3 linked regions of the Macaca fascicularis genome follow. The protein of the gene in region 1 interacts with the protein of each later gene in a biochemical or structural test. Links are inferred from orthologs where the notes say so. Each region holds a gene or a part of one and is shown on either strand. Other genes may lie near its edges. The genes, in order: RGS4, GNAO1 and GNAQ.

What was found.
Region 2: the proteins of RGS4 (region 1) and GNAO1 form a complex in vitro, tested with the Homo sapiens proteins (2 studies listed by BioGRID). The link is inferred for Macaca fascicularis from reciprocal best matches to the Homo sapiens genes RGS4 and GNAO1.
Region 3: the proteins of RGS4 (region 1) and GNAQ form a complex in vitro, tested with the Homo sapiens proteins (3 studies listed by BioGRID). The link is inferred for Macaca fascicularis from reciprocal best matches to the Homo sapiens genes RGS4 and GNAQ.

What each region holds. Positions count from the first base shown.
Region 1 is NC_088375.1:20,915,541-20,919,957, forward strand, and holds the start of RGS4 (regulator of G-protein signaling 4), read left to right. Parts: upstream 1-1,543; 5' UTR 1,544-1,607; coding exon 1,608-1,665; intron 1,666-1,923; coding exon 1,924-2,200; intron 2,201-4,417. UniProt on the Homo sapiens protein: Inhibits signal transduction by increasing the GTPase activity of G protein alpha subunits thereby driving them into their inactive GDP-bound form. Activity on G(z)-alpha is inhibited by phosphorylation of the G-protein.
Region 2 is NC_088394.1:52,257,383-52,261,550, forward strand, and holds the start of GNAO1 (guanine nucleotide-binding protein G(o) subunit alpha), read left to right. Parts: upstream 1-1,251; 5' UTR 1,252-1,998; coding exon 1,999-2,116; intron 2,117-2,304; exon of another isoform or gene 2,305-2,335; coding exon 2,336-2,378; exon of another isoform or gene 2,379-2,492; intron 2,493-4,168. UniProt on the Homo sapiens protein: Guanine nucleotide-binding proteins (G proteins) function as transducers downstream of G protein-coupled receptors (GPCRs) in numerous signaling cascades.
Region 3 is NC_088389.1:108,438,593-108,442,238, reverse strand, and holds part of GNAQ (guanine nucleotide-binding protein G(q) subunit alpha), read left to right. Parts: intron 1-150; coding exon 151-280; intron 281-3,646.

The sequences.
Region 1 (4,417 bases):
CCAGCTCTGTTAGTGAGAAGCTGTAACCTCAGCAAGCCACTTTCTCTTTCTGGGTCTCTATTTCCTTTTTGATGAAATAAGGGCGTTAGGCTACATTGCCTTTAAAGTCCCATTTTGTCTTTAAAGTCCCATCTATTGCAGTGATTTATATTTAACTCATGACAAATCAGGCTTCTCTTATTCTAAGTCCAAGAGATAAAGCTCTTATTGTGGAATTTCAGGCATCAGTAAACCTTTTCGGGTCCTCACTTATGTTCCTAAAATCAATCTGTTTGAGTGATCACTCTTTTAGGTGTCCATGTAAACAAAGAAGGCTGTGGTCTTTCTTTGAGTGACCTTCTTTCCCTTTTAATTAGTCTGTCCTCTTTAATGTCAGTTCCAACTGATTCCTCTCCCTGGTCCATCTTCCTTGGTCTAAGGGCCTCCCTAATTTCACATTGCACTGCAGTTCCTTCCACACCACCATCAAGAATGGCTGTCAACATTCACTTGTTCTATGTTATAATTCAAGGAAGAGTTGCCCAGTATCTACTCTAATAAATGTCTTTCTATCTTTATGGGCGGCTAGAGGCTTTTTCCTATAATTTAAATGCATCTTCTGTAGATTATGGTCCCTCCACCACCTTACATTTGTCTGCTGTCTCCTTGCTCTGCTAGTCATGGAAGGTGTTGGTAGTGGGAGCAGTGTGGGATGTTCAAGGGCACGTATTGGGTCGGGCCATGTATGGGCATTGCTTTGTGACATTCTTTCTATATTTTTGGTATTTTGCATTTCACTGGAACCTAACTATTTTTCATCTCTTCCACCTAAACCATTTGATGCCTCTGTTTCTTAAATATAAAGTACAGCTCACTGTAGCCTATGATCAGGAACCTATCTGCTCTCAAAATGAAAGCTGTTTTGGTCAGATCTAGCAATTAATTCTCTTCTTCCACTTATAGCTTTCCTCTGTAACTCTGGTGTAGGTATTTGATATATGGCTATAAGATGTGAAACACCTGAATGATTCTCTCCATGCAGGCGTTTCAGTTTATGATATTGTATGTAAAAGATACTAATTGTTCAGGTGTTCAGAAACACCTATAGGGCTTAATATTCTTAATGATTCGTTTTAAGGCTGGTGATACGCAAAGCAAACTACGTATTTTTCTGCCTGCTCTGTCTCTTTCTCTCTACATCCCTCTTTCTTTATCTTTTGAAATATCAGTTTGGAGACTTAGAATTACATAAGACATAAACCCATTGGATATAAGAATTGCTGTGTATATTTGCTCACCTACTCCCTCCTTTGGTCCTCAAGCTGCTGGTTTAGACTTTTTACAGGACACAGGCATGTAAAGGAGAAACTGTCAGTGCTAGGCTGAATTCTGTTGTTACCAAGATTTCTAGAAAAGTATTCCTCAGTCAGGTTGATTACGGATATAGCAAATCTATTTTTCCTAGGGTAGTTTCTCTATGCAGCCGGGCTTATAACTGTCTGTCATCCAGCTATTTCTCTCCACCTTCTTGTTTGCATAACAACCAAGGCAACTTCTGCAAATCACTGCGTGGAGACGATGATCCTGCCAGCTCCCTTTTGGAAATCGTGAGGATCAGATCTTGGACCATGTATCATATGATGCTTCTAATCCAAAAGAGGAAGGGCACTGGGAGTCAGCTCCTAAGTAAGCTTCAGAATTCCTGCTGGTACTTTTCCTTCCAGGAAGCAACTTTCCTTGATATTGTTTTTTACAGAAATATGAATGAATACTATATTTTGCAGCATTGTACACTTTTTTCCTTTTCTAGAAATTCTAAACCTCTGACACTGGTAGAGACATTGAGTACATTTTTTTCCATATCCCTACTTTGCTGAAGGATTTTCTCTGCTCGTTCACTTAGCATTGCTGATGCGTCAGTCTTTTCCTCCTCATCTCTTTCAGGGGCTGGAGAGGCAGAGGGAGACAGAGGAGCTGGTACTGCAGAGCTGTCGTCTGATTGGCTGGACCGTCGTAGCTGGGCTATAAAAGAGACCCCTACAGGCTTAGGAGGAAGACGCTCAGAGGATTCTGAAAATATCTTTACCGGAGAAGAGGCAAAGTACGCTCAAAGCCGAAGCCACAGCTCCTCCTGCCGCATTTCTTTCCTGCTTGCGAATCCCAAGCTGTTAAATAAGATGTGCAAAGGGCTTGCAGGTCTGCCGGCTTCTTGCTTAAGGAGGTAAGATTGCTTTCAGTCATTAACCGTATTAAACTTTTGGATAGACTTTCTCAGTTATTTACATGTTGTACTTACTAACCTAGTTCTGTGCAATTAGAAACAGTGTGGTCAGGAGAGCACGACTTTCTAACTTTCCTCCAAGACTAGCTAGATACTGTGACTTAAGACATGTGCTCCCCAAATTTCAGTCCTTATGTATTGTTTCATGTGACCTCAGTTTTGAGAACTGTTCTTTAAGCCAGGTCTAAGCAAGCTAGTTTTAATTAAGAAGTGAGATGAGGCTTGAGGCTATGTATAGTGGTCTGCAATATCTCCATCTGTGATTACTGCTGTTATTTAAGCATCCCTGGAGTACATAGAAGCCTGGGTCTGGGTTTTCTGATTGTATGCTACATCTTGTTTCAGGAAAGGTACCCCAGAATGAGGTTTGGCTCCATCATCAGAAAGGCACTATGCTTTCTGTGTAGTGCTGCAGTATCTTTCACTCTCTATGTTCTTATAAGCAAATGTTACAATGAGATATGAGTTCCAAAGCCAGATCTTCCTTATCTCTCTGCCCCATCTCTAGTTCTTAAAGTGTCTTATATGAGTGTGGTTGAGAAGTATTGATCATTACAAATCAGTTAACAGTTTTGTAGATCTCACCTTAAAGATATTGTTTTGTTAATATACTCTCTTGATTTTTTAAAAAGACTTTACAGACATACAGCTATTCATTTGTTTTTCGTTTGTTCAAAAAAGGTATAAACAAATGCATTCAGAGAATGATCGTATAGTAGTCAGTTGAAAATTAAACACAAAATGAGTGCATATTACATTACTTAATCTTGCAGTTAAAGGTAAAAAGTCAATCTAAAGGTGTACTACCTGCTTTCTTATCGCGCTGCAAATAGAAATTACCCCAAATTTTATTTTGGAAATAGTCTCAGAAAACATAATTTTTAATGTACTATTAAAACATTTACTTTTCAAATATTCTGTCATTCAGGAGTATGGAAGTATCTATGGCTTCTTTAAAATGAAGCAGGAGGGTCTGGCAGAGAGTATCTATGAAATAAGTTCCTCTGACCTTCACGCTTAATTTTCTGAATGGAGTGGAGCAAATTACTTCAAGCTTCAGTTAACTTACATATGAAATGAACTATACAAAAATACAAGAGTGTCAGGAGAAAGTTATGCCCTGGTAAATATTTTGCAAAACAGATAAAAGTTAATACTAGAGCTCTGTCCTCAAAGAGTTAAGCAGCTAATCTAAGGAGGTAAACTCTATGTCAGCAGAATGAACTGCTCTTCCCTTTCCTCACCAGTAAATTGCAAATCGTCTAGTCCAACATCTTTGCCACCAGTGCCTGAGGCTCCACAGGAGCCATCGCCTGCTCAAGGTCACATAGGTTGGTGGGTGAATTAGGACCAAATCTAGATATCCTGACTCCAATAACTTCTGAAGTCATTTTGGTTTTTATTTTTATGTTTTTTTTTTTTTAAATAAGAATACTTGCTAAGCACACTTAGCCCCTGCATTGATCAACAACTCTCAGATCTCAGGTGGATCCAGCACATAGAAATATGAATTCATTTCTATTTGGACTTCATGATATACTTATATTATCACCTTGGAATCACCCTAACATTCAGGATTATATCCTGTTATCATCAAAAAGGATGTTGCATCCCCTGAGCAGTCATCAGTCAGGGAAGCAGAGGAAGGAAAGTAATCTTGCAAGGAAGAGAAAATACTATTTAAGGGGCAGTCAGAGAACATAATGGAATTCAAACTTTCTGGGAAAACCTACATACATAAATTTATTAGGGGCTATGTTAAATGTCTTTCTATCTTTGAGGCTTTATTTTCCCCACTCCAAATAGACACATTTAGTTATTCATTTCTCTTAAAATGGTATTTCTATTTTTAAATTATTTGTTGGCCTTTTTAATAAAAGAGATGCAAGCAAGAGGATATTTAATAAAAAGTAAGAGAGTTGAGCTTAAGGCTTATTAAAAGACCCCCTTTTTCTAGTTAGTCAGGAGCCCTATTGTGCCAGGCTACCTATTAAATGGTGGCAATAAATGGTGGCAATAAATGGTGGAAGCTCAGTGATGACTCTAGCCTGCTTCTCCTAATAGCTTTTAAGCCTCAAATGCCCTTTAGAGTGTGTATGTCCTTTAAAGTAGCATTAAAAAGGAAAGCAGCAGCAGCAGATACTGTCTGGAAAGAAG
Region 2 (4,168 bases), on another chromosome or scaffold:
AACTATTTTGTGCAGTAAAAAATTTGTTTCTTCAAAATCTGAGACCACCCAGAACATGCCCAATCTTTGGCAAATATCGACTGGTTTTCTCAGTATTTGACTAGCTGTACACCGAGTAACTGACCCGGGTTTCTGGGTTTTTTTAGAAGAAATGAGGGGAAAATGTTTCAGAAGATGAAAAAAGGAAGAAAATCTCTCATCCAAGAGTCTATTCAAAATTCATTTTGTGTGTTTCGAAGGGGGAGGACAAGAGAATTTAGTGCAAAGACGGCCTCCACCAAGCTAAACCGTCCAACATTTGCAAAAGCTTTTAAAATAAACTGCTCAGGGATCAGGGGTTTGCTGGAAACTCCCAGTCGCTTGAAGCCCTGTCCCTCCGCTCAGGGCACCCAGGCCTCCCCAAGGGTGGGCACCCCTCCTGCACGGAGAGCGGCGGCTGGGATCTCGGAGCAGGGTCGGCGATGGCCCTGGAGGCAGCGGCTCCCGGAGAAAAGGCCCTGGCTTTTCTCCGCCCGCTCCGTTCCTCTCCTTACAGCCTCGGCTCCCACATACTAAGTGCTCAATAAATGTGGACACAGGAAGCGAAAAGGCCGAATCTGTCCTCATGCCCCCAAGGCGAATTCTGGGGCGGGAGGGTTTATTCCGACCCACTACCACATCGCGTTTCCTGAGGTAACCCGGCCTCGGCTCTGCGGCCCCAGCGGCTGCAGAGCCACTGACAAGGCGGGCTGCGGGCGACAAGATGGAGAGCCGGCCGGAGAGGGACAGAGGCCGCGCTGGCAGCGAGCTGGGGGGCCCACCTGACCGCCGTGCCGGCAGCCCGGTCCCGCGCTCCCATTGACAAGGAGGTCCGCGCCGCCGGCGCTTGGGGCGGGGGCGGGGGCGGAGGCGGGGTGGGCCCCGGCGCGCGCCCGGCCCCACGCCCCGCCCCCGCCAGCCCCGCACGCGCCCACCCGGGGGAGCCGCTGGCTGGGAGGGCTCTGTGGGGAGGGGCAGGCCGCTCCGCGAGCGCGTGTGCGCGCCGCCGACGGCTGACGCGAACCCCGGCGCGCGCCTCCCCCGCCCCGCGCCTTTCCCGTCCCGGGGGCCCGGCGCGCGGCCCTGCTGACGTCAGCGGGCGGCCCGCGGAGCCGGGTGCGCAGAGCCGCTGGCGCACTCGCGCGCTGCACTCGCCTCCTCTCCCCGCCCGGTCCCTGGCGCGCGCGCGCTCGTTCGCTCTCCCATTTTTTTCCCCTCCCTCCCTGCCTCTCTCTCTCTCCCTCTCCCTCGAGCTCCCGGCTGGTCGCGGCTCCCTGGCGCTCTCCCTCTCTCTCCGGTAGGCTCACCGAGCGATGCGAGCTCTGGGAGACAGCGACGCCGCCTCCCGCTAGAGACCTGCCCCCCGGCCCGGCCCCCTGCCCAGCCCTGCCCTGCGCGCGGGGGTCGGCGAAGGCGCCGCGGACGCACCGACGGCTGAAGAGCGGCGATGCACATGCACTAGCAGCACCCCCTAACTCACTCCCTCCACATCCCGCGCCGCCGCCGCCGCCTCCTCCACCTCCTCCTCCTCCGCCGCCGCCTCCTCCTCCTCCGGCAGCCGCGGCAGCAGGACCCACCCTGCCCCCCACCCCACCCTCCGTCGGCTCCGGCTGCGGCTCCAGCCTCGACTATTATTTTATTTATTTTGGGTCGTGCACAAGCCTCAGTGCCTGCAGCCCGCGCCTCCTCGGCCCGCGGGCGCCTCCTCCCTCGGCTGCGGAGCCCCAGACCCCGGCCACACTCGGTTCGACAACCCCAGACCCCCGCCAGCTGCCGCGAGTCTCCGCTGCTGGAATCTTGTTAGCGGCTGGCTTTTTGGGGGGTTCTGGTTTCCCGACATTTTTGTTTCCAGCCCAGGAGAGGATATCGTGATTTTCCCCCCTTGAGCCCAGGCTCTGCTCTCTGGGGGGGTGGGGGGCGCTCCGAGCCGGGGAGCCGTGCCAGCCGAGTCGTGCGGGCTGTGGCAGGGAAGGGGCCACCATGGGATGTACTCTGAGCGCAGAGGAGAGAGCCGCCCTCGAGCGGAGCAAGGCGATTGAGAAAAACCTCAAAGAGGATGGCATCAGCGCCGCCAAAGACGTGAAATTACTCCTGCTGGGTAAGGACCGCCGCTGCTACCCCCATCCCCCGACCCCGGCCACTCCGCACCCCCTGCCGCCAGCTCCCCCACCTCACCCGCGCCCGGGAGACCTGGTCCCCAAGTTGGCACCACCATGTGCCCAGGATCGCCCACCCCCTCGCATGCCTTAGTCCCCCCTCCCCCTGTTCCCTTAAGCTGACACTCACCAGTTTTTCCCCACTGTCTGTGTCCCAACAGGGGCTGGAGAATCAGGAAAAAGCACCATTGTGAAGCAGATGAAGTAAGTCCCTGTGGCACTGGGATTTGTACTTTTAATAAGAGTAATTTTTAAAATCGTTTTTATTACCTTGCTTACTCCACATTGCTCTCCAGGCCTGTTTTTTAATTCGTGCACACACACACATACACACACACACCCCTATATTTGACTCCCCTCCCCCACTCCCTACGTTGGTTCTGGGTCCTCCACCCCAACTCCTGGGTGGGTGTTTTTTGGGAGGGGGAAGGGGAGCGCCTGTAGTTGTATGAATGACAGTGTCCGCCATATTGATCAGAACATCACATTATTGGCATGATTATGATCATTACTCTTGCTTGTGGAATATTTTTTGTGTCTCCCTGCCTCCATTTCTGTGTCTCTGTTTCATTCTGTCTCTATTTGTCTCTCCTCTTCCCTCCATACCTCCGTATCCCCCGAGGTCCGTAATCCCACTTCCCCTGCTCTTCTCCTGGGGCAGTGATTTTGAACTTGGCTAACATGGAGGGGACCCAGCCCTAGACTAGGGTGGAGGATCAAGCGTCTGCTGTTCATGCATTTGGTGCTGAATTGGAGGCTGTGGTTTCTACATACCCTCGCACCCCCCCGCCCCGGCCCCAGAAAAAGAGGGCCAGGGTTAGGGGAGGGGTCGTGTGCTAGGGGAAGAAGTGGGTTTCCAAGCGTACGTGACGGGCACAGTTTTATCCAAGGTAGAGGTGGAAGGGGGAGGGAAGCTGCCTGTGAGGCTGAATGTCCGCCCCTTACTGCTCCCAGCTCCTCTCCTCCCCACCCTCCCAGCATTGCTGTCCTGACACCCGCAGTTTTCGTTCGCTCCGTGGCCTTTATCAATGTATTTTTTTACACTCTGCATAGGCCGTGTTCCATGTAATCTACCCACAATGCGGATTTCAGGCCCCACTTGCCGCCGCCCCCTTCTGCCTTAGCTATCAGTTTCCCCTCCTAATTAACTGGGGGTGGATTTGAGTGATGGTTGAAAATTAAAACAAAATGGGATATTCCTTCCCTTGCACACTTTCTCAATAAGGAGCCTTGCCCCTCCTTTCCACTTGCAGGCTCGCTTCTTGCGCTATCCACTCGGCAGTTCCTGGTGAGCCCACAGGCAGCTTTGCTTGGGGAGGGGGTGGCCGGCAGCGAAGGGGTGTGCGCCCTCCGGGCCTCCAACTTCCGTTGGCCTGTCAGTTCGAGACGGAGAGTTCGTTAAGACCGTTTAGCGAAGATTCCACGTCGCTTTGCTGTGACACCTTCGTGCACACATAGCTCCTAATTAGGGGTTGCTGTGCAGTAAACAAAAATGATTATTTTCCAACTTGACAGAATAGCCGAAGTAATTGCATCGCGTAGGGAAACAATGGAAAATAAAAACCCCTTTCGTGGGAAGGTGGGAATGGGAGTGGGAGACGAAGCACGCTTGCGGTTTCAGAACCAAGATGCAGAAAATCTTGCATGTGTAACAGGCATGACAAGCGGGTTCTAGGCGGCGCCATGATGGTAGGGAGTAGCGACTCGGAGACAATTTTCCCATCTGCTTGACATGTTCTTATTTTTGTTCGAGAGCTCCCTGGGGCTTTCTTCGCAGAGGCCCCCTCGGCTCGCCGCACCCTTCTGAGCCAAGGGTAATTTAGCTTGGGGCTTCTCTTGAGCTTGTGCAACCCAAATTGATGGGGAGGCGGGGCCTCGGGAATTGCTCTTTGCAACAAGGTGCATGTTGCATCTGTCTGGAGCCCTTGCAGATCTGTAAATGCAAGCCGCGCCACCCCTTTCTCTCGAGGGGGGACGTTTTAAAACTTCAGAAG
Region 3 (3,646 bases), on another chromosome or scaffold:
TTAGTAATTATTCAATAAGTATTAATTGAATTGACTTGGATGATCATTGTGATTCAAGAGAATATTTTCCCCAAGTTTGTAAGTAGTACTATATTTATGTTGACTTTTTAGTTTTACATGTTATTAATATGAGTATTGTTAACCTTGCAGAATGGTCGATGTAGGGGGCCAAAGGTCAGAGAGAAGAAAATGGATACACTGCTTTGAAAATGTCACCTCTATCATGTTTCTAGTAGCGCTTAGTGAATATGATCAAGTTCTCGTGGAGTCAGACAATGAGGTAAGTGTTCTTTAGACAGGCAATGGATTATCATTTTATTATCTGATACAAGTAAACGATAGGAAGTAGGGTATGGGGAATGGAGTGAACTGACTTCTTTGCTTTCTTGAAATTTGATTTTAAGACTTTTAAAATAACCAAAAATAATCCTGTTACCACATGGTACACTCAAAGTGGCAAGCTCTTCTGTCAGATGTATGAGCAGGTCTGTGTGTTCAAATCTAATTAGAGCCTATTTGATACTTTTTAACACTATGCAGAGGTTCTAAAAATGAAAATAACATGGAAATCCTAGGCTAATCATCAGATCATTTTATAGTCTTCCTCCTACAGGATAGAACTGGGAGTGTTGGAGTGAGTCATCCTGTTTTGTTTTGTTTTCATTTTGTTTAAATCATTGTTTGTGTGATGGGTGTGTCCCAAAGAGTACTCAAAATCTCTCTTGGCAAATGTGAATGACTTTGCAGCTGGGCTCTAAATCAGTTCATTATGAGCCATGGAATGTCTTGGTGAGGCGGCCTTTCTGCTCTTATAGAATTCTCTAGGCTGCTGCATAATTTTGTCTCTATTAAGCAGAGAGCAGTTGAAGAAGTGTCCTTAATATGCCTGTCTGGAGAACGAATTCAGTATTGCTATCTCCTCCCATTTACAGGGAAACTTAATAGGTGTAAATGTGGATTTTGAGGATGGTAAAGACCTGACTATGAATCAGTTGATTATGGAAGATAATTAAGGGATGTAGAAATCCGTGCTTCTGAGCTGTAGTTGTGTGCTTGTGTGTGTGTGTGTGTGTGTGTGTGTGTGTGTTGGGGGAACAGAGAAGACACCATTGATACCCTGTTAGAGGCAGAGTTTGCAGTGTGATAGGTTAATAATAAATATTAAATATCCTAATAATAGGGTAGAAAAAAAGAATGAAGTGAGAGATCCCCATTTGCTGACTAAAATAGGATCTAGCATATTATGCTTTTAATACAGTACGTTTTTTAGGTACACAAGAATTCCTGACTTGTTCTTTTAAATATTATTTCTGCCAGTATTAATATCTCCATTAAAATACATATCCAAGCTTCTATAGTATTTCTTTTATGTATAGGATTGATAAAGTTTCCATGAACCAATGTCTCATATAGAACCGAGAGTTACCTGTTGATGCATTTCAGAATCACTCCTGAGTTGCGAGTATATCGGCTTTGGAGTCAACCAAATAACTTCTGTTTAAGAATGAGGCTTCTTTATCAATCAGTTGCCCCCAATAACTATAAAGCAAAGTGCCTAAAAGCATGCTACAATATACGACAGTAAGTTACCACGGTATTAGGCAGTTACTGTCAGAATTTTAGCTATGATATCTCTATCTGTACATCTTTATGTCTGTGCTTGTTTGTTGTTACATAATTCCTGGATGTAGTATTTTAAACGTACTGCATATTTTGGGAGCAGATCTATTCTAACACTTCTGATTTTTTTTAATGTTGTATCAAGACAAAAAAATATTCTGAGGGCTTCCCTACTATATGCTGGGTACCAGAGTATCTAAAAAGACACAAAAATGGAGAAAAAAAATCAACTCTCCACTAAAAGACCTTATAAACTAGATGTGCTTTTGGTCAAAATAAGCCATATGGGGAAAGGTAAGCCTTTGCTATGTAGGTTGTCATATCTCTTCTTTAATTTGCCATCCAATAAAATAAAATTTGCATTTATCAATTACACAAGAGATATAAGAAGCAAATGTGAACTTATTTCTGATGTTTACATTATAGCTAGAGGAGGATAAGTGTTTATCAACACACATTTTACACAAGATAAATGTATTATATATATGAAGAAATAATATGTCATGATTTAATACTTAGCAATTTACCACTTTAAAATTATCAAAATGGAAAAGAAAGTAGATTCCTTTGGCAGCTCATAAACTAATTCAGTTCAACTGAATTGAATCTGGTTCTTCAGTTACCTGAACATTACAGATCATTTATTCCATTTTTCATCAGACATAGCTAATAGTGACTAGATTTTTATATAAAAGTATATTATGTTAATTAGAATAAAATGGCATAGTTTTTATTATCATGTGTCATAATTTAAGTTCCCACAGTAACTTGACATTCAATGTACAGGTACTAAGAACGTCTAAAAATATTGCCCCAGTTCCTTTGATTCCTATGGTGATGCCTTATGCTCCTTTTAAATAGTTACAAATTAAAATAATAAAGCTATCATTTTTTCATTTGGACTCCCTTATTACTTGTGAATCTTTTGAAAGTCTAGGTAATTCTATAAGATAAAAGTCAACTTATATGTTGTTCCTTTCTGAGCCCTCTAGTCAAGCCTGATGATAGTATGGGATCATGAGAAAAGTACTATTCATTAATTGCTTCATCCATGTTAGCCACAGCTGTCACCGTCTATAATTAGGAAGTACTGTCAAAAATATTTTTTAATGTTGGCATGTAGTCGCATTATCCCTTTTTTTCCCCCAGTTGTACTAATGTATGATAATATCATTGCCTCTCAGCTTCCTTAATCATTAAGAAAATTCAGAACTACAGAATTCTAGTTTCCCCAGATTTTTTGGTTTTGGTAAGACAAAACGAAATAAGCTCCAGAAACATTTTGTTCTTGGTTTAGAAGTCTAATGTTCATAACTTTAATCCAAAACAGACTTTGTTGTGCCTCCCTCCCTTGGTATATATTTGTGAGAAAAACCTAGGAATGGATTCTGACAGCTTTTCTTTCTATCCCAGGAAACTGGAAAATGCATTGCAGACCACAGACAAAAGCAGCTAAGGGAAGCATTTTAGATTATTGCTTTTGCTTTTTAATATTTCTAAAACCTTATATATTAATCTTCATAATTTTATGTAGGTCTTTTTTTCTGCCTAGATTCTCAGCCTTTCTATTGTTTGGGGAATTAATGTCTTTTTTCCTTCAAAGAAGGAAATATATTATCAAATAGTGGCTAGAATACCCAGGGTGGTAGAACTTTGTTCATCTGTGTATTCCCTTTGCTGTCTTATTTTTCCTGTGATAACACACCAGCATGGAGTCCACTATTCTGCTGTAATCCTTTCATGGGTACATGATTTCAGTGCTCCTGAAAGCCCAAAGCACACACTAAGACATGCTTGTAACATATTTTAGTTTATCAGTGTGTATACAAACACTGCCTTTTAGTCTTTATTTTTCTGATTTTCTGTTTCACGAATAGCTGAGCACTACTGCAAAGATGTTTTCTCAGACATTGTCTCAATGACCGTCTTCCAGGCGAAGCTCTTTGTAGAATCACAAAGACTGAGATCTTTTTCTCCTCCATGTCCTTTTTGAATGTGAGCTTTGAATTTATTAATCATCTTGAAA